Linked DNA regions of Tamandua tetradactyla. The protein of the gene in region 1 interacts with the protein of each later gene in a pairwise test. Links are inferred from orthologs where the notes say so. Each region holds a gene or a part of one and is shown in the gene's direction. Other genes may lie near its edges.

Region 1 (9,778 bases):
TGAAAAAAGTAAATCACAGAACTTATGGGAGTGAAGGACAAAGTAGAAAAGATGGAAAAACAATGGATACCTACAATGGTAGATTTAAAGAGACAGAAGATAGAATTAGTGAATTGGAGGATGGAACATCTGAATTCCAAAAAGAAACAGAAACTATAGGGAAAAGAATGGAAAAATTTGAACAAGGGATCAGGGAACTGAATGACAATATGAAGCGCACAAATATATGTGTTGTGGGTGTCCCAGAAGAAGAAGAGAAGGGAAAAGGAGGAGAAAAACTAATGGAAGAAATTATCACGGAAAATTTCCCAACTCTTATGAAAGACCTAAAATTACAGATCCAAGAAGTGCAGCTCACCCCAAAGAGATTAGACCCAAATAGGCGTTCTCCAAGACACTTGCTAGTTAGAATGTCAGAGGTCAAAGAGAAAGAGAGGATCTTGAAAGCAGCAAGAGAAAAACAATCCATCACATACAAGGGAAACCCAAGAAGACTATGTGTAGATTTCTCAGCAGAAACCATGGAAGTTAGAAGACAGTGGGATGATATATTTAAATTACTAAAAGAGAAAAACTGCCAACCAAGACTCCTATATCCAGCAAAATTGTCCTTCAAAAATGAGGGAGAAATTAAAACATTCTCAGACAAAAAGTCACTGAGAGAATTTGTGACCAAGAGACCAACTCTGCAAGAAATACTAAAGGGAGCACTAGAGTCAGATACGAAAAGACAGAAGAGAGAGGTATGGAGAAGAGTGTAGAAAGAAGGAAAGTCAGATATGATATATATAATACAAAAGGCAAAATGGTAGAGGAAAATATTATCCAAACAGTAATAACACTAAAAGTTAATGGACTGAATTCCCCAATCAAAAGACATAGACTGGCAGAATGGATTAAAAAACAGGATCCTTCTATATGCTGTCTACAGGAAACACATCTTAGACCCAAAGATAAACATAGGTTGAAAGTGAAAGGTTGGGTAAAGATACTTCATGCAAATAACAACCAGAAAAGAGCAGGAGTGGCTATACTAATATCCAACAAATTAGACTTCAAATGTAAAACAGTTAAAAGAGACAAAGAAGGACACTATCTACTAATAAAAGGAACAATTAAACAAGAAGACATAACAATCATAAATATTTACGGACCGAACCAGAATGCCCCAAAATACGTGAGGAATACACTGCAAACACTGAAAAGGGAAATAGACACATATACCATAATAGTTGGAGACTTCAATTCACCACTCTCATCAATGGACAGAACATCTAGACAGAGGATCAATAAAGAAATAGAGAATCTGAATATTACTATAAATGAGCTAGACTTAACAGACATTTATAGGACATTACATCCCACAACAGCAGGATACACCTTTTTCTCAAGTGCTCATGGATCATTCTCAAAGATAGACCATATGCTGGGTCACAAAGCAAGTCTTAACAAATTTAAAAAGATTGAAATCATACACAACACTTTCTCGGATCATAAAGGAATGAAGTTGGAAATCAATAATAGGCGGAGTGCCAGAAAATTCACAAATACGTGGAGGCTCAACAACACACTCTTTAACAACGAGTGGGTCAAAGAATAAATTGCAAGAGAAATTAGTAAATACCTCGAGGCGAATGAAAATGAAAACACAACATATCAAAACCTATGGGACGCAGCAAAGGCAGTGCTAAGAGGGAAATTTATTGCCCTAAATGCCTATATCACAAAAGAAGAAAAGGCAAAAATGCAGGAATTAACTGTCCACTTGGAAAAACTGGAGAAAGAACAGCAAACTAATCCCAAAGCAAGCAAAAGGAAAGAAATAACAAAGATTAGAGCAGAAATAAATGAAATTGAAAACATGAAAACAATAGAGAAAATCAATAAGACCAGAAGTTGGTTCTATGAGAAAATCAATAAGATTGATGGGCCCTTAGCAAGATTGACAAAAAGAAGAAGAGAGAGGATGCAAATAAATAAGATCAGAAATGGAAGAGGAGACATAACCACTGACCTCACAGAAATAAAGGAGGTAATAACAGGATACTATGAACAACTTTACGCTAATAAATACAACAGTTTAGATGAAATGGACGGGTTCCTGGAAAGACATGAACAACCAACTTTGACTCAAGAAGAAATGGATGGCCTCAACAAACCAATCACAAGTAAAGAAATTGAATTAGTCATTCAAAAGCTTCCTAAAAAGAAAAGTCCAGGACCAGACGGCTTCACATGTGAATTCTATCAAACATTCCAGAAAGAAATAGTACCAAATCTCCTCAAACTCTTCAAAAAATCGAAGTGGAGGGAAAGCTAACTAATTCATTCTATGAAGCCAACATCACCCTCATACCAAAACCAGGCAAAGATATTACAAGAAAAGAAAACTACAGACCAATCTCTCTAATGAATATAGATGCAAAAATCCTCAATAAAATTCTAGCAAATCGTATCCAACAACATATCAAAAGAATTATACATCATGACCAAGTAGGATTCATCCCAGGTATGCAAGGATGGTTCCACATAAGAAAATCAATTAATGTAATACACCACATCAACAAATCTAAGCAGAAAAATCACATGATCATCTCAATTGATGCAGAGAAGGCATTTGACAAGATTCAACATCCTTTCCTGTTGAAAACACTTCAAAAGATAGGAATACAAGGGAACTTCCTTAAAATGATAGAGGGAATATATGAAAAACCCACAGCTAATATCATCCTCAACGGGGAAAAATTGAAAACTTTCCCCCTAAGATCAGGAACAAGACAAGGATGTCCACTATCACCACTATCATTCAACATCGTGTTGGAGGTTCTAGCCAGAGCAATTAGACAAGAAAAAGAAATACAAGGCATCAAAATTGGAAAGGAAGAAGTAAAATTATCACTGTTTGCAGACGATATGATACTATACGTCGAAAACCCAGAAAAATCCACAACAAAACTACTAGAGCTAATAAATGAGTACAGCAAAGTAGCAGGTTACAAGATCAACATTCAAAAATCTGTAGCATTTCTATACACTAGTAATGAACAAGCTGAGGGGGAAATCAAGAAACAAATCCCATTTACAATCGCAACTAAAAGAATAAAATACCTAGGAATAAATTAAACTAAAGAGACAAAAAACCTATACAAATAAAACTACAAAAAACTGTTAAAAGAAATCACAGAAGACCTAAATAGATGGAAGGGCATACCGTGCTCATGGATTGGAAGACTAAATATAGTTAAGATGTCAATCCTACCTAAATTGATTTACAGATTCAATGCAATACCAATCAAAATCCCAACAACTTATTTTTCAGAAATAGAAAAACCAATAAGCAAATTTATCTGGAAGGGCAGGGTGCCCCGAATTGCTAAAAGTATCTTGAGGAAAAAAACGAAGCTGGAGGTCTCACGCTGACAGACTTTAAGGCATATTATGAAGCCACAGTGGTCAAAACAGCATGATATTGGCATAAAGATAGATATATCGACCAATGGAATCGAATAGAGTGTTCAGATATAGACCCTCTCATCTATGGACATTTGATCTTTGATAAGGCAGTCAAGTCAACTCACCTGGGACAGAACAGTCTCTTCAATAAATGGGGCCTAGAGAACTGGATATCCATATGCAAAAGAATGAAAGAAGACCCGTATCTCACACCCTATACAAAAGTTAACTCAAAATGGATCAAAGATCTAAACATTAGGTCTAAGACCATAAAACAGTTAGAGGAAAATGTAGGGAGATATCTTATGAAACTTACAATTGGAGGCGGTTTTATGGACCTTAAACATAAATCAAGAGCACTGAAGAAGGAAATAAATAAATGGGAGCTCCTCAAAATTAAACACTTTTGTGCATCAAAGAACTTCATCAAGAAAGTAGAAAGACAGCCTACACAATGGGAGACAATATTTGGAAATGACATATCAGATAAAGGTCTAGTATCCAGAATTTATAAAGAGATTGTCCAACTCAACAACAAAAAGACAGCCAACCCAATTACAAAATGGGAAAAAGACTTGAACAGACACCTCTCAGAAGAGGAAATACAAATGGCCAAAAGGCACATGAAGAGATGCTCAATGTCCCTGGCCATTAGAGAAATGCAAATCAAAACCACAATGAGATATCATCTCACACCCACCAGAATGGCCATTATCAACAAAACAGAAAATGACAAGTGCTGGAGAGGATGCGGAGAAAGAGGCACACTTATCCACTGTTGGTGGGAATGTCAATTGGTGCAACCACTGTGGAAGGCAGTTTGGCGGTTCCTCACAAAACTGAATATAGAATTGCCATACGACCCAGCAATACCATTGCTGGGTATCTACTCAAAGGACTTACGGGCAAAGACACAAACGGACATTTGCACACCAATGTTTATAGCAGCGTTATTTACAATTGCAAAGAGATGGAAACAGCCAAAATGTCCATCAACAGAAGAGTGGCTAAACAAACTGTGGTATATACATACGATGGAATATTATGCAGCTTTAAGACAGAATAAACTTATGAAGCATGTAGTAACATGGATGGACCTAGAGAACATTATGCTGAGTGAGTCTAGCCAAAAACTAAAGGACAAATACTGTATGGTCCCACTGATGTGAACCGACATTCGAGAATAAACTTGGAATATGTCATTGGTAACAGAGACCAGCAGGAGTTAGAAACAGGGTAAGATAATGGGTAATTGGAGCTGAAGGGATATAGACTGTGCAACAGGACTAGATATAAAAACTCAAAAATGGACAGCACAATAATACCTAAATGTAAAGTAATCATGTTAAAACACTGAATGAAGCTGCATCTGAGCTATAGGGTTTTTTGTTTGTCTGTTTGTTTGTGCCTTTTTTTTACTATTATTATTATTTTTATTTTTTTCTCTATATTAACATTCTATATCTTTTTCTGTTTTTTTGCTAGTTCTTTTCCTAATTCGATGCAAATGTACTAAGAAATGATGATCATGCATCTATGTGATGATGTTAAGAATTACTGATTGCATATGTAGAATGGAATGATATCTAAATGTTGTGTTAATTTCTTTTTTTTCTTTAATTAATAAAAAAAAATTAAAAAAAAAAAAGAGAGGCAGCCTGGAAGTGGGGAAATCCTCAGCTAAGCAGCTACTCAATTCTAAAGTTGTATCAACTGAATTCCAATGTCACTACCTGAGTCTTGTTTCCTATTTTTGAAATGGAGACCACATTTCATGGGGTTGTGAGGGTCGAGTGAGAAAACGGTTGTTTTATCCGTTATTATCAGGCTCAGCTCAGTTCTTTCAGACTCAGTTAAATTCCCTTCGGTCCTCTCGCTTCGTTGGGACGCAGTTCCTTGTCCTGGGAACAAACGTGCAGATGCTTCCTATTAGTGACTGGAATGGCTTCGCCGATGCGAGGCGCTGCGAAAGTGACCAGAGTTCACTCAGGAGCTGGGAACAGCCTCCAATACCTTAAACCGCTATTAGGAGGACCAACCCTTCCCACAATGCTACTGCTTTTTCTCGCCAAGGGGCCGTCCCTCATCAGTCCCGAGATCTCGCGAGATTAAGATTGCATAGTTATCATCCAGCCCTAGCTGTCGTCACCTTCTCTGTCCTCAAAACGGCGTCTTCCTTCCTTTTTTCCCCTCCTTTTACCCTGCGCTCCGCTCACGGATTGGCTGACTGGACTGGATCAGTTTTTTCCTGGCCAGAAGGAGGTTAGACATCCCGTCCCTCTTTGGCCCCGCCCCCGGAGCCTGTGGATTGGACGGCTGTGTCAGCTGTCGTGCGCCCCGCGGGAGCGCGGACGAGCCAATCAGGAGCTTGAAGTATTTTACAAACTGTGAAAGCAGCTTCTGGGGACGCATAGAGTCCAAGAAAAAGCGAAGAAAGTGAGGGTGGCCCTAAGGGGTTCCGGAGAAGGTGAGACACGAGAATCTTGGAGGGAATGAGGGGTACGGGAGCTCACGGGGAGGAGAAGCAGCTTGGGGTGCTGGGGCGAAAGAATAGACTCGGAGTGTCTGGAGGTGGCATCCAAAGTAAGGCCTTGCAGGAGCCGGGGGGTTCGGGGCTCTTCAGTTTAGGCATAGGTAAGAGCCTCAGGATTGGAAGAACCAGTGTCCCGAAATGGCTGACCTTTGCTTTCCGGTTCTGCTTCCTTCCCCGTCTCAGTTGTAGCCATCATGACCTCACTCCAAGCCACGAAGGATCCGCTCCTCCGGGGTGTATCCCCCACCCCTAGCAAGATTCCCGTACTTACTCAGAGACGCCTACCTCTCCCCAGGGACAAACTCTCCGCCCTGGACCAGGAGAACCAAGATCCAAGCGTAAGAGGGGCTTAGTGGATAAAGGTAGCAGTTACAAGGAGGCTGCATACACCAGTAATGCAGCCCAACGCAGCGTCCCAGCTTTTTGTTGTCTTTTCCTCCCAGGAATCAGTGCAGAATCCACCGCTTAGTATTAAAGGACCCCTTGTTGGCCTAGCAGGCTCCAGGCCGAAAGCCATGCACCAAACCGAGAAATCAGAGAGATTGATGGGGAGCACTCAGCTCCGGAACCCCCTGAAGGAGCTCAGGAGTAGTCCTGGGGGTCCGAATGTGAGACCTGGTCCTCTTCCCCAGACAGGTACCTGTTGGAGGCCTGGAGACTACAGCGTCTTTGGTTGGGTGGGGGAGTGTGACGGACACAGTGGGGTTTCAGGGCTTTGTACTTGCCTGTGGGTTCCCTGGTCCCTGCTCCTGGGAAGCTCTTTGTTATTAGAAGCCCCACCCTCCCTACTCTTCCTTCAGCAAAATGTCATCTCTTTTGAAACCTTTTCCTGCTCCCTCAGTCACAATCAGATGCTTAATTCTTCATTTATATGATATGTCTTTTTTTAAATTTGAGTCTATTCTCTATAGTTTGATGATAGCTTCTTGAGGATACAGGCTTTGTCTTAATCATCTCCGGGTCCCAATGCCCAGAATAGTGTCTTACTTAGAGAACAGTAGAGTTCTGTGAACATTTGATGAGCTGAGTTCAATTGAATGAGAGTTTCTTTTTTCACCCTTGCACCACAAGGTGACTACACCAGGGCCCCTGATCCCTTAGTCGTCACCCTTCCTATTATTTCTCACCTTCTCCTCTTTTCTTGCAGAGGCTCCAGGGGCCACAGAATTTGTGGCTGATCCTGCAGCCCTGGCCACCATCCTGTCAGGTGAGGGGGTAAAGAGCTGTTGCCTGGGGCGTCAACTCAGTCTGGCTCAGAGAGTATTGGTTCGAGAGAGCCAAGGAAGCACCATCCGGAGGGGCCAGGTAATGATGTAAAGTAATCAGACTGCATGGGATGGGGAGGGGATCCTGAACCTGTGCTGATAGCCTCTGTTGGGGTCCCAGGGTGCCCGGGCCTCAGCTTATTCAGCCCCCAGAACTCCCGTCCACCGTCTGGATCCTGCCAGGGCTTCCTGCTTCTCGAGGCTGGAGGGACCAGGACCCCGTGGCCAGACCTTGGGTCCCCAGAGGCTAGAGGCTCTGGTGAGTGCCCTTGAGGGGCTGGCTGTCAGTGCTTCAGGGAGCATCTGCTTACAGGACAGGCTGGGCCCTGGGACAAATAGTACCTCATGAGGAGCCGCAGAGGGTTCTGTGGGGAAGATGGGGTTGGAGAAGATTTGGGGTCCACGCTGTGACTCTGCTCTCATTTCTTGCTTCTCTGGATCAGATTCCACCTTCAGGACCTTCCTTTCACCCCTCTACTCGCCCCAGTTTCCAGGAGTTAAGAAGAGAGACAGGTGGCAGGAGCCGGTGAGAAGAAGAGGGTGTGGGAAAGTATCATTTGGAAAAGATTGACCCAGTGTCTTATGCAGGGTTCCCCCAGACCTGGGGCCTCCTGTAGCTTTAGGACTTCCTACCAACCCAGGAGGGGAAGGGGTAACCTTCCTAGAGGTGAGTCCTTGGAACAGAGTTCAGACCTTCATAGCCAGGCCTCAGTGTGGCATCAGTCTCCTCAGATCATGAGCCAAAGGGGAGGGACAAGAATGAGAGGTGTTATTGCTTGTGTGTAGTGGTTAGAGCACAGACTAATAGCAATAAATGGGATTTGAGTTTGATTCCTGACTTGCCACTTAGTTGTGTGAACTTATTTAAACTCTCGTAGCTTCTTTATCTGTCAAATGAGGATAATGTTTGTACTATCATTAGAGGTTATCGTGAGAATTAAATGAGATGATGTTTATAAAGCACTTAGCTCATACTTGGTACTCAGTGACTGCTCACTGCTGTTATTTGTCATCAGAACTTCAGTGAACCAGGCCTCAGGATTGCCCCTGAAGAACGCAGCCCAGCCTAGTAAGTGTGTCTGGCCCTGGGGAGAGAACAGGGGCAGGAGCTTAGTCTGCAGCAGGGAATAAGACAAGAGAAAGCTCAGAAGGCCTGGTGGGGTGAAGTGGGCCTAAAACAGAGGTTGGTAACCAGTTGCACATGTCTCAAACGGGAGGTGGTCCCCATTTCTACCCTCTCCCTGAAAGATTTACCTTCCACTCACTGTTCTATTCCCAGCCCCTAAGAACCATCACCACATCTGCAGTCTACTCATGGTGTTCAGATTCATAGGTATTTAGTGAGATAGTACAGGGCTTAGGATAGAGCTTGCTGGGATGAATTCCTGTTCCTGATGGTGCAGCAGAGGCTGTCAAACTGGCATACCCCTCTTCAGAGGTTGCAAGGCCCATTTCAGAATTTTGTGAGTGTTCCAGAAACTTCAACAAATTTCCTGTCTCTTCTTAGATTCCTCTCTTCCTGAAGGTAAACGTGAGATTGTGACTCACTCAGATGAAGGAGGAGGGGGCCCCCTCGGTCTGGCCCAGCGGGTACCATTAAGAGAAATCGGTGGGATAACAAGCACCAAGGTAAGATGGGACCCTCCTGTGGAGGGGAGGTGGGAGGTGCTTGGGGGAACTCCCCAGCAGGAGCTGGCACTGAGGATTATGGGTTGAGTCAGCAGTACTGGCCCTCAGGAACATTATTATTAGGGCTGAGTTTACCCCAGATGGGCCCAGGCCATCTCCAGAATGCAACTGACTTCTCTTTACAAGGTGTCTGGGACTCAGCTGAGAGGTCACACACTGGTATATGTTTGCATCATCATCAGATCAATGCTGAGAGCAAGACAAAACTGATGCTTGTCTGTCAAAAGCATTCGTCCATTCACTCCACAAATATTTATTGAGCATCTACTGTGTGTACTGTTCTAGGCTCTGGGCATAAAAATATTCACATTCTGGAAGGAAGAGACAAACAAAAACAAATATATAAAATATATAGCACGTCAGATTGTATTAAGTTCTCTGTAAAAACTACATAAATAAGATACTAAAGGGGAATTGAGAGTGGAGAGTTGGTATTGCAATTTTAAATTGCAAAAGATTGGTCAGGGGAATCTCATTGAAAAGACAGCATTTAAGTGAAGGCCAAAGGAATTGAGGGAATGAATCATGACAATCTCTGGGAGAAGAGTTTCAGACCAAGAATTGCATATGCAGAGACTCTGAGCAGTGAATATACCTAGTGTTTTTTCAGCTCAGAAAAGGAGAGGCCAGCGATACTTAGAGTAAAAATACTGGTAGGACATGAGGCTAGAGTGATAACTGAATCAGGTTGAATAGGGACTTATAAACCAATGTATGGACTTTGGCTTTTACTTAGAATGAGATTAGAAACCATAGGGCCAGAAGAGGGAATGATATGATTTGCGTTTGTCTTAAAAGAATCACAGTGGCTGCTGTGGTGAGAACAAGATGTCGAAGG
Region 2 (10,082 bases), on another chromosome or scaffold:
GAGGCTTCAGGGGCCGCGGGCGAGGAGGAGGAGGAAGAGGTGGTAAGTGAGGCGTCCCCTATGCTTGGGTAGTAGCAAGGGAAGAAATTTGGGGGCTTCTTCTTACTGCATCTCTCCTGTAGGTGGAGGGTTCCAGTCTCCTGGTGGCAACCGGGGTCGTGGCCGAGGAGGAAAAAGAGGAAACCAGTCGGGGAAGAATGTGATGGTGGAACCCCATCGGCATGAAGGTGAAGGGCAGGAACTGGCTGAGGGTTGGGGTGGGGTGGGGTCGGGGGGCCAATGTCCTCACCCCTGCTCTGAAACCCTCACCCAGGTGTCTTCATTTGCCGAGGAAAGGAAGATGCACTTGTCACCAAGAATCTGGTCCCTGGAGAATCAGTTTATGGAGAGAAGAGAGTCTCGATCTCGGTGAGACCTGGGGCCCTGTCTAAGCTAGTGGGACCCCAGCTGATGGTATATCCAGCAGTCTGATCTCCCTGCTGCCACCCTTACCTCCCCCTTCCCCCTTCATATGTCCTGCAGATGCTGGCCAGGGATCACGGTAACTTCCCTCCTCACATGCCTTCTGTGATTCCCTGTTGCCTTCAGCTTGGTCCGGAGTCCTTACTGGCCCTGACAGCCCTCCACGCTCTAGTCCCCTTCTCCACCCCGGCCTCATCTCCCCCCTGCTTTCTCCCTAACCAGGCTGCACTGATCTCCTTGCTATTCCCTCTGCCTGGAGTTTTTGTCAGTAACTTCTGTGTGAGTCTGACTCCTTCTGTCTCCCCACCCTGCCTGTCAAAATCAACCCCCACCCCCTGCCCTCAGTCCTGGTCACTGGCCCTTACTGCCCCATGTTATTTTCTTTATGGGCAGGTACACTCTTGCCTCAGGGCCTTCTTGCTTGCTTTTCCTCTGCCTGTCATGCTCTTCCCCAGATAGCGCTCATCTACTTCAGGTAGCTCCTTCTCGGCTCGTCTCTTGCCACCTTTTCTCATTTTCACCTGTCTCTTGACATATCACCATCTAGTATAACATATTTTATTTAGTTAATTATAGTGTTATGTACTCTTTGGGGGCAGGGGTCTTTTTCTTATTCACAAGGTTTGGCACAAGCAGGTGCTTGTTGAATGAATGCATAGGACTTGATGTTACTCGATCCAGTCTGTGTCTCTCTGTGTTTATTGTCTCTTGCTGTCTTCTCCCCTTGAGTCAGTGACTTCCAGTCAGGCAGGACTGCATCTGTCCTGGTTCATGCTCTTCGTCCACAATTCATTTCTTGTACAACAACAAAATGCCCAGTTCTTTTCGAGGGCCCTAGGGTAAGGGATATGGGCTGTTGGAGAAGAGCCCAGCACTTATTTCCCCATCTCTCCCGGCCTAGGAAGGAGATGACAAAATTGAGTACCGTGCATGGAACCCCTTCCGCTCAAAACTGGCAGCAGCAATCCTGGGCGGCGTAGACCAGATCCACATTAGGCCGGGGGCCAAGGTGCTCTACCTTGGGGCTGCTTCGGGGACCACTGTCTCCCACGTCTCTGACATTGTAGGACCGGTGAGTGGGGGTGGGGGTGAGAATCTGTGACAAAATGTAAGAGTGGTGGTGAGGTGAGTGGGAAAGAAAAGATGCCTTCCTTTGCCAGCCTCGAGTCAGAGTCCTGTCTGCTTCCATTCACTGTGGCACAGAACCGGGCTCTGCCTTCTAGAAGGGGATAGGAGGCCCCTCCAAAGCTCGCTTCTGGGTTTCTGGACCTGAGGGAAAGGGGCATAGGCATTAGAGGGGCCCAGAGCTAGGAGTATCGGTATCAGACTATTTGAATTGGTTGCCCTTGTTAAAAATTCATGTCCCCAAAATCCAGGCTTCTGGTTTATCTTGAAAGAACAGGAGATCTCAGAGTTTCTGGGCCTGCATTTCAATTTATACCATCTGTAGAGGGAGGCTGTACATCTCCCTTTGTGACCCCTTTCTCGTTTATGTGATTGCTGGCTGTGTAATTTAGTAGTTACAGACCCTAGGCTCTGATGCCAGGCTCTTTGGATTCAAATCCCAGCTTAGCCATTTAACAGTGATGTCGTTTTGGACAGATTATTTATCTCTCCGGGGCTCACTTTACCCCCTGGAAAACAGACTTGTGAAAATTAGACAAGTTAATTTCTACACAGTGTTTCTGAACAGTACCTGGCATGTGGCAAATGCTTGTTAGCTGTTGTGCTTCATCATTCTGTGCCTTGGCTTCCTGTTTTTAAGCCTTTATTGAGAGCCTGGGCTCTCAGATTAGGTAACTTGGTGTTTGGAAGGCTCACTTGCTTGCTGAATAATCCTTGGTTGATAATTTCACATCCCAGGACCTCAGTTTATTAATCTATGAAGTAGACTTGATAACAATGGCTGTTAAATGATAGGATTTTGATTTGGAGGTTGGAAGAAATGCTGCATGCAGAGCGTAGGCCCATTAGTAAGTAGTGGCTCCATATGAGCACTGATACCATCACTGTTATTACTTGCCTTGTTTTAGGATGGTCTGGTCTATGCAGTTGAGTTCTCCCACCGTTCTGGCCGTGACCTCATTAACCTGGCCAAGAAGAGGACCAATATAATTCCTGTCATTGAAGATGCTCGGCACCCACACAAATACCGCATGCTCATTGGTGAGGGGCCCTGGGCGTCGGCCCAGGTAGGGTGGGATAGGCCACTCCTAGAAACAGGTTTCCTGGAAGAGCCTATCTAAGCCCTGAATCGGACTGAATTGGAATGAATGAGCAGTCCCTCAGAGTCTGTAGGAGTGAGAAGGGATGGGGGAATCAGTTGAGATTATGGAGGTGGGGGCCCCATTCCATGGTCTCAGGTGTCTGGCACCCTTGAAGAGCCAGCCTCCTCTCTTTTGAAATCTTTCCTTAGACCCCTGTGCTTCTAGCCTCCCCCCCAAAACACAGTACTTTCTACACTGCTCCTGACTTGTGTGTAGAACCCCCTCCAAGATGCTGTTCATTATCTGATGATCCTAGCCCAGGAGGCACAAACTGAGCTGGCTCTGACCCTCAGGGGGCCATTGTAGATATTTTAATGCCTGTATTTTTTTTTGTTCTCTAATTGGAAATGTAACATATGATTTTGTTTTGTAAAAAATCAAAAGCATGATGTAAAAATGGAAAGCCTTTTAAACATCCCCAGAGGTAATTGACGTAAACAATTTGATGGCTACTTGTTGTGAATTTTAAAAAGTCAGTTTTCATCATACCACCCCATGCCCGCCCCGCATGAGCAGACACCGGGAATCAAACCTGGTTCTCTGGCATGGCAGGCGAAAACTCTGCCTGCTGATCCACTGTTGTACCGCCCTACACCATCTTTTCAATTGTTAAAGTTTCCTTCCTCCCCTACCCCCACTCCTTACTCACACTGGCTTTAAACATTACTTTGTCATTCCACTTGTTTTTCTTTCTGAGTTTTTTTCCCGTATTCTCATATATATTTGTCCTGCGACTTGTTTTCATTTGACAACCCCGAAGACGTTCTTGCCTATTAGTGCTCACCTTTAGTTGCCTTTTTGATGACCTGGTTGTCTCCCCCGCCAGGCCTGGGAGCATCTTGAGGGCAGGGTCCGGGTTTGACTTGTCTCTGTGTCACCAGGGCTGGCCACAGAGTAGGTGGCAACCATGTTGGGGATGCTGTGGAGGAATGGGGGATCAGTGGGGGAAGTTGGATTGGAGGCAGGGAAACTGCCAAGCATCTGCTCATGATGGGGCACAAGCCCAAGGGGGGGAGCTGGGAAGATCTCTGGTGGGCTCGACTTCTAAACGCCACCCCTCTCTCCCTAGCAATGGTGGATGTGATCTTTGCTGACGTTGCCCAGCCAGACCAGACCCGGATCGTGGCCCTGAATGCCCACACTTTCTTGCGTAATGGAGGACACTTTGTGATTTCCATTAAGGTGGGGGACTTGATGGTGTGTAAGATGGGATGGGACTGTCCCAGGATGGCTTCTTCTCTGTCAGGGTGTGACAGCCAGCCAGGTGAAACAAGGGGGTCACCATCTTCCTTACTCCAGTCAGTCTACTCCCAGCCTCTGTCCCTACTCCAGCCCCCTACCATTTGTTCTCCAACTCCATTCATATAACACGTGATACCAAAATGTCAGCAAAACTAAAAGCTTTGGATTTAGAGATTAATATGTGGTGGTCAAATGCATGGTCACTGATCCTGACTGAATCTTAAATCCCAGTTTGCTCTGTGAGTTTGAGCAAGTTACTTAACCTCTGTGTACCTCAGTTTCTTCATTTGTAGAATGGAAATATTAGTTCTATCTCTAGGGTATACGTGAAGAATTAACATATGTGAAGTGTTCAGAACATTCTGGCATAAAATTAAATATAAGATAAATATTAGATGCATTTTTTAAACTTTGAAATACAGAGAACTTAGTCCTGTATGCTCTTCACCCAGATTGACTATTTGCCAGCCTTTTGCTACATTTGCTTTGTTATTCTTAGCTGGCTTATTACTATTACAATTTAGTAAAGAAAAAGAGGAAGAAGAAAAAACAGACAAACTCTGTTTTATATGTAAAATTTAGGGGCTGTGATTAAAGCTTCCTAGTTCAAATCCAAACGAAACTGAAAGCTTTTTTAATGAAGCATTTCCCCACATTTCTGAAACCCTGCCATAGAAGAGACAGTAATGATTGTTGTTGGCCTCTTCAGCCTGAGGGTCACTTACTTTCCAAAGAAAACAAATACTTCTGGTTTAAAGAGCACAAAAAAAGGGAAACCAGAAGTCAAAGCCTTGCTGCGGACTTAAAATCTCTCCTTCTATAGGCCAACTGCATTGACTCTACAGCCTCCGCCGAGGCCGTATTTGCCTCTGAAGTGAAAAAGATGCAACAGGAGAACATGAAGCCCCAAGAGCAGTTGACCTTAGAGCCTTACGAAAGAGACCATGCTGTGGTTGTGGGTGTGTACAGGTGAGCAGGCAGCCAGTAATCTACCAGGATAGATGTCTGTCCCTTAAACTCAGAGCTGTGTGGGTCAGTTCTTGTTGGGAATGCCCATGGTCTTGGAGATTCCCCTCATCTCCTCTCTTCCTCTCACAGGCCACCTCCTAAAGTGAAGAACTGAGTGAAGTTCACCGCTGTCAGGATTGCGAGAGATTGTGTGGTTGCTGTTGCACGTGTGTTTTTCTATTAAAAGACTCTTCTGTCACCGTTGTCTGCAGCTGATTGCTCTGCCACCGCTGTTGTCCACCTGGCGCATGCGCCCTTGGTGCTCTTGAGTGGGGGTGGAAAGTCTCATCTTGTTACATGGCGCATGCTCTGTTTTCAGCGGTCTCCTGCGCAGCCGTAATCCGGTTTTCGGCGCCTAGGCGGGGTTAGTGACTCGCTGCGCATGATTGGTAGTAGTGCCCACTAAACGCAGGCGCGGATTGCTTCCTTGGGTCACGTGAAGGGGCGGGGGTGGGGAGGCGGGGTGAGGGCGGAGTCCGGGGCGAGGGCGGAGTCTGGGGCGGGGTGGAGGGGTTGGTTTGTTGTGGTCGCCATTTTGCTGGTTGCATTACTGGGTAATCGTGGCTCTGGCTTGCTGCGTCCGCCGGATACCTTCCGCCCGTGGGCAGGTCAGAGCTCGGGCCTCCCGAGCAGTTTGAGTCCCCTTGCCTGCGCTCTCAGGTAACGAAACGAAGATGAGTGGGGTGGCATGCGCTCGCAGGGAGTGGAGGGGAGGGCGGAATTCGCCCTGGCCGCGTCGCAGCGAGAATGAGCACAAGGCCCCGGCATGGGGGTGAGGAGGGCGGGCAGGTGCAGGCCCAGCCTGGCTATTCATAGTCGGATTCCTGGAAGGGGCCAAGCCCGAGGGAGCGATCTTGGGAGGAAAGTTGGGAGGGGGTAGCCAGGCCTGGCTCCCGCCCTTTGTTTGGGCTTGGCTCCGCCGGCCGCATCGTCGTTGCCTAGCAACAGCCATCTTGGACTATGATTGGCCGAGTTCTTGGCAGCGACGACCAATTGCACGGTTGTTGCCATGGCAGGGTGCGGACTGCCAAGCTCAGTCGGGCCCCGCCCGCCGGTTCTCCGCAGGCCGGGGCGGGCCTCCAGGGTGGGGGGCGGGACGCCTGGGTCCCCAGAGGCGGGGGGCCAGTGGTGCGAGAGTTAGCTCGCCCCTCCCCCGTCCACCTGCTTGCCCTTCCCCCGCGTGCCCCGGGTTGACCCTCGTTCCCTGCTCTCCCCGCCCCCGGCGGTGGCGGTGGCGGTGGCTGCTGTTTTCACCCACCGGGCCGTCTGTCCCGCTTGCCCTCCCCGCCGCGGGGCTTGCCGGGCCGGCCGGGCTGGGGACAGACGGCCGCCTCCTCGCTGCCGCCACTGCCGCCATGCTGGCCGCTCACCCGCCCCACTGGGGGCCCCACCGCGCCCCAGCCCCCAGTGGGCTCCGCGCCAGCCCTGACCCGGGTATGGGGTGGGGGCTGAGAGAGACGGTCCTGTTGTGGGAGGGCCCTGGGTTATAGGTTGTTTTGGGGGTGAGGGGCGATCTTCCAGGGAGTGGAACTCCAAGAGTGGTGGGGCCTGGAGTGGCAAAACCTTGCTTAGGAGCAAAGAATCTGACATAGGGGGGTTGTGTGGGTGCGGGTGGAAGCCCTTGGGAGAGGGACTTTAGTGTGGTTCAGTGTTCTGAGAGAGAGAACCCTATGTGATATTTGAGGAATTTGGCTATGTGGGCCTCCTAAGAATGGGCGCGGCTGTGTAGTGACCCTGATAAAGGGGAGCTGTGGGGGAAATGTTGGGTAGTGGACGTAGGATCCAATGTAGAGGAAATAAGAAGGAAGATCACTGTAAGCCATGGGAAGAGGCTCCCCCCCCCTTGGTTCCATCAGAAATGGGCTTTGGAAGGGGAACATTGGAGTACCATGAGAAATACTGCAGATATGGCATGGGGGAATGGGGCTTTGGTTGGGAGACTACCTAGAGGGTGGTCTCTGAGGAAGGAGGACCCGATAAAGGGAAGAAATCCTGGCATGATAAATTGGGAGAACAGTGGGAGGCGGGTCCCGTAGGAAGGGTGTGCCCTGGTTAATGAGGTTGCCATAGAATAGGACTCTGGTCTGTAGGGGATCTCAGATAATCTTGGGGTGGCTGGGTGGTCCTCAGAGGAACCTGATGTGGTTTAGGGGTCCTATAGAAGACCCTGCTATGGCTTGGGGGAGGTTCCAGAGAGCTCTTGTTTCTAGGGTTCTCTGCATTTGGGGATGTGTTGGGAAGGGTAGGCCTTGAAGTAGAGGGGTCTTGGTGATAGAGGATGAGATCCTGATGTTCAGGAAGACTGCAGGAGGGTGGGATCTTAGGTGAGGGGTCCTGGGGAGAGCCACGAGTAGAAATGGGAAGAAAAGAATGAACCCTACTTCCCATGCTGCCTGTGGTTTCTATCATTTTCTTCTCTTTCCTCCCTCCAATTATTGGTGTCTTTCTGTCCTCCTTTCCTGTCATGACCCAAATCCCCTGCTCTTGCCTGCCTCTTTCTTCATCCCCTTTCATGCATCCCTGTCTTTATTCCGCCTCATTCATTTTTTTAATGATCATTTGTCGAGGTACTTTGCTTTGCCCCCCCACCTGGCTTGCCACTTCTCTTCCCTCTTTTTATTGCCACCTGTTGCACCCTTTTCCACCTCCTTCTGTGCCCCTGCTTTCTCTGTCATATCCATTTGTTCCCTGCTTGGCACTGTCCCACATATCCCCCTGTTCCATGTTGTTCCCCCGCCTCCCTGCCTGCTCTCAGGTCTCAGCGGCGGTGGCAGCCGAGGTGCAGGATGCGAGAAGGCGCCCCCCGGCCGGGCTCCCGCTCCAGGCCTCACTCCCTTGTGGCCCTCTGAGCCCACCATGGCCGTCCCACCAGGCCATGGTCCCTTCTCTGGCTTTCCAGGGCCCCAGGAGCACACGCAGGTATGCGTTCACCCAGCTCCTCATCTGCCTGGGGTCAAGGGAGGCTGGGAATAGAAGGGTTTCAGGGCCAAGAGATGGAATGTGGCTGCCCCAGACAGTATCCAGGGGTGTGAAGGGCCCCTGAGTTGTAGAAGATAACAGAAAAGGTGCTGGCAGTCAGGGTTTGGAGAGCCTGGGTTCAAATCCTGGCATGGTGATTAAATTACTAAGTTCTCTATGCTTCCGTTTTCTTATCTGTGAAATGGAGCCAATATCAAAACCTACCTCACAGAGTTGTTGTGAGGATTAAAGAAGTTAATGAAATGCATGTAAAATGCCGAGAATAGTGCCTGGTACCTAGGAAACACCTAATAATGCTTACTAAGAAAACGTTAGAGTGAAGGATCTGGAGGGAGTGGATGGAGAGGAGGGTTGAGACCTAAGGGTCTTGGGACCAACAGGGCCTGAGTGGTATAGGGTAAAGCACTCCAATGGTAGAGATGGTGGAGGTTCTAACATGTAGATCTTGAAACAGGATGGAATGGGAGGTCCAGGGTATAGGATCCAGGTTCTCAAGACCTTTCAAATGAAAGAACAGGGCAAAGATGCTTGGGGCAAGGGAGGGGGGAGCGAGGTGAGAAGCAACACCCTAAGGGATAAGGGTAAAGTGAGATGGGGGTGCATAGAGGTGGGACACCCAGAATGGAGTGGGGGCTAGGGCAGGGCTGTCTCTCCTGCTAAAAGGTTAGGAAGGTTTCCCCTATGATCTCTCCCACTGAAGTTCAGAAAGGAGTGAAGGTGTGGGTCAGAATGCTGGCTAAAGGCCCAGGGGGAAAGAGTTCCCTTATTTAGTCAACACCCATTGCTTCTGTTGAACATCCGCTACATACTAGACCCTGCTCAAGGCCCTGGAGACATAGTAAGAACAAGACAGACCTTGTAGAGTTCATTTCTAATTGGGTAGACAGAATGACCATATAAATAGGTGATTGCGTGGGGTAATAATGAGCCAGATGTCCATATGATTCTCCCCCTTGAGGTCAGACATGATGGGTCTTGCCTGTCCTCAGTGAGGCACCCCCGCCCTGCCCAGCAGGTATTGCCTGATGTGCGGCTACTGCCGCGGAGGCTGCCCCTGGCCTTCCGGGATGCGACCTCAGCCCCACTGCGCAAACTCTCTGTGGACCTCATCAAGACCTACAAGCACATCAATGAGGTAGGCAGGGGCCGGGGCAACCTGGGCTGGGGTCTGGGGGGTTCTCACTGCAGGCATGGGTCGCTCACTGGTCCTCACCTCCTGCTTGGCCAACTGGATAGGTATACTATGCGAAGAAGAAGCGGCGGGCCCAGCAGGCGCCGCCCCAGGACTCGAGCACCAAGAAGGAGAAGAAGGTCTTGAACCACGGTTACGATGACGACAACCACGACTACATAGTGCGCAGTGGCGAGCGCTGGCTGGAACGCTACGAGATTGACTCACTCATTGGCAAGGGCTCTTTTGGCCAGGTGCGGGACAACCAACCCTGAAGCCAGGGATTGGGAGGCATGGGAACCCACTGACATTGACCCCCTCACCCAGTCACTTAGTTTGCTATACCTCAGGTTCCTTTTCTGTAAAATAGTACAAATAACAGGACTCCCCACATAAGGTAGTTGACAGGTGTTTCCACCACTGCCTCAGTCATGGTGAGCATTCAAGTGTGTATTTTTATTACTGTCAATTTTTGGGGTTGGGTCCCCTTTGCTGAGCTGAGGGAGGCCAGAGGGAGAAGAGGAAGAGAGTTACCTGGCTCTCCCCTACCTCCCCCACCTTGTGATGTGCCCTGCCCTGGCAGGTGGTGAAAGCCTATGACCATCAGACTCAGGAGTTGGTGGCCATCAAGATCATCAAGAACAAAAAGGCCTTCCTGAACCAGGCCCAGATTGAGTTGCGGCTGCTGGAGCTGATGAACCAGCATGATACGGAAATGAAGTATTATATCGGTGAGACCTGGGGCCAGTAGGGCCATCAATGCCTGGGATAAAGGGAACTAGCTAGGGATGGGTCACCCCCAAAATAGGAGGGGTCTGGTGTCCTTTGGCCAGGGTTTGGTCTGTGTTTGCTTGACATCAGGGATTCTTCTGCTCCCCATGATTTTTCACCTGGTCACATGATAACAATGGCCAGAGTTAATGTTCACTAAGAGCCAGGCTCTAAGCACTTTA

Evidence for each region.
Region 2: the proteins of TROAP (region 1) and DYRK1B interact in binary tests that used the Homo sapiens proteins (3 or more experiments, as listed by UniProt). The link is inferred for Tamandua tetradactyla from reciprocal best matches to the Homo sapiens genes TROAP and DYRK1B.

What each region holds. Positions count from the first base shown.
Region 1 is NC_135333.1:110,256,358-110,266,135, forward strand, and holds the start of TROAP (tastin), read left to right. Parts: upstream 1-5,574; 5' UTR 5,575-5,920; intron 5,921-6,169; 5' UTR 6,170-6,180; coding exon 6,181-6,324; intron 6,325-6,429; coding exon 6,430-6,622; intron 6,623-7,133; coding exon 7,134-7,291; intron 7,292-7,372; coding exon 7,373-7,510; intron 7,511-7,694; coding exon 7,695-7,777; intron 7,778-8,267; coding exon 8,268-8,320; intron 8,321-8,758; coding exon 8,759-8,880; intron 8,881-9,778. UniProt on the Homo sapiens protein: Could be involved with bystin and trophinin in a cell adhesion molecule complex that mediates an initial attachment of the blastocyst to uterine epithelial cells at the time of the embryo implantation.
Region 2 is NC_135342.1:24,180,857-24,190,938, forward strand, and holds the start of DYRK1B (dual specificity tyrosine-phosphorylation-regulated kinase 1B), read left to right. Parts: upstream 1-6,003; 5' UTR 6,004-6,334; coding exon 6,335-6,413; intron 6,414-7,734; coding exon 7,735-7,898; intron 7,899-8,970; coding exon 8,971-9,093; intron 9,094-9,194; coding exon 9,195-9,383; intron 9,384-9,712; coding exon 9,713-9,860; intron 9,861-10,082. Other genes in the region: FBL (rRNA 2'-O-methyltransferase fibrillarin), read left to right, coding at 1-42, 123-227, 314-408, 1,364-1,534, 2,496-2,628, 3,799-3,911, 4,795-4,940, 5,070-5,094.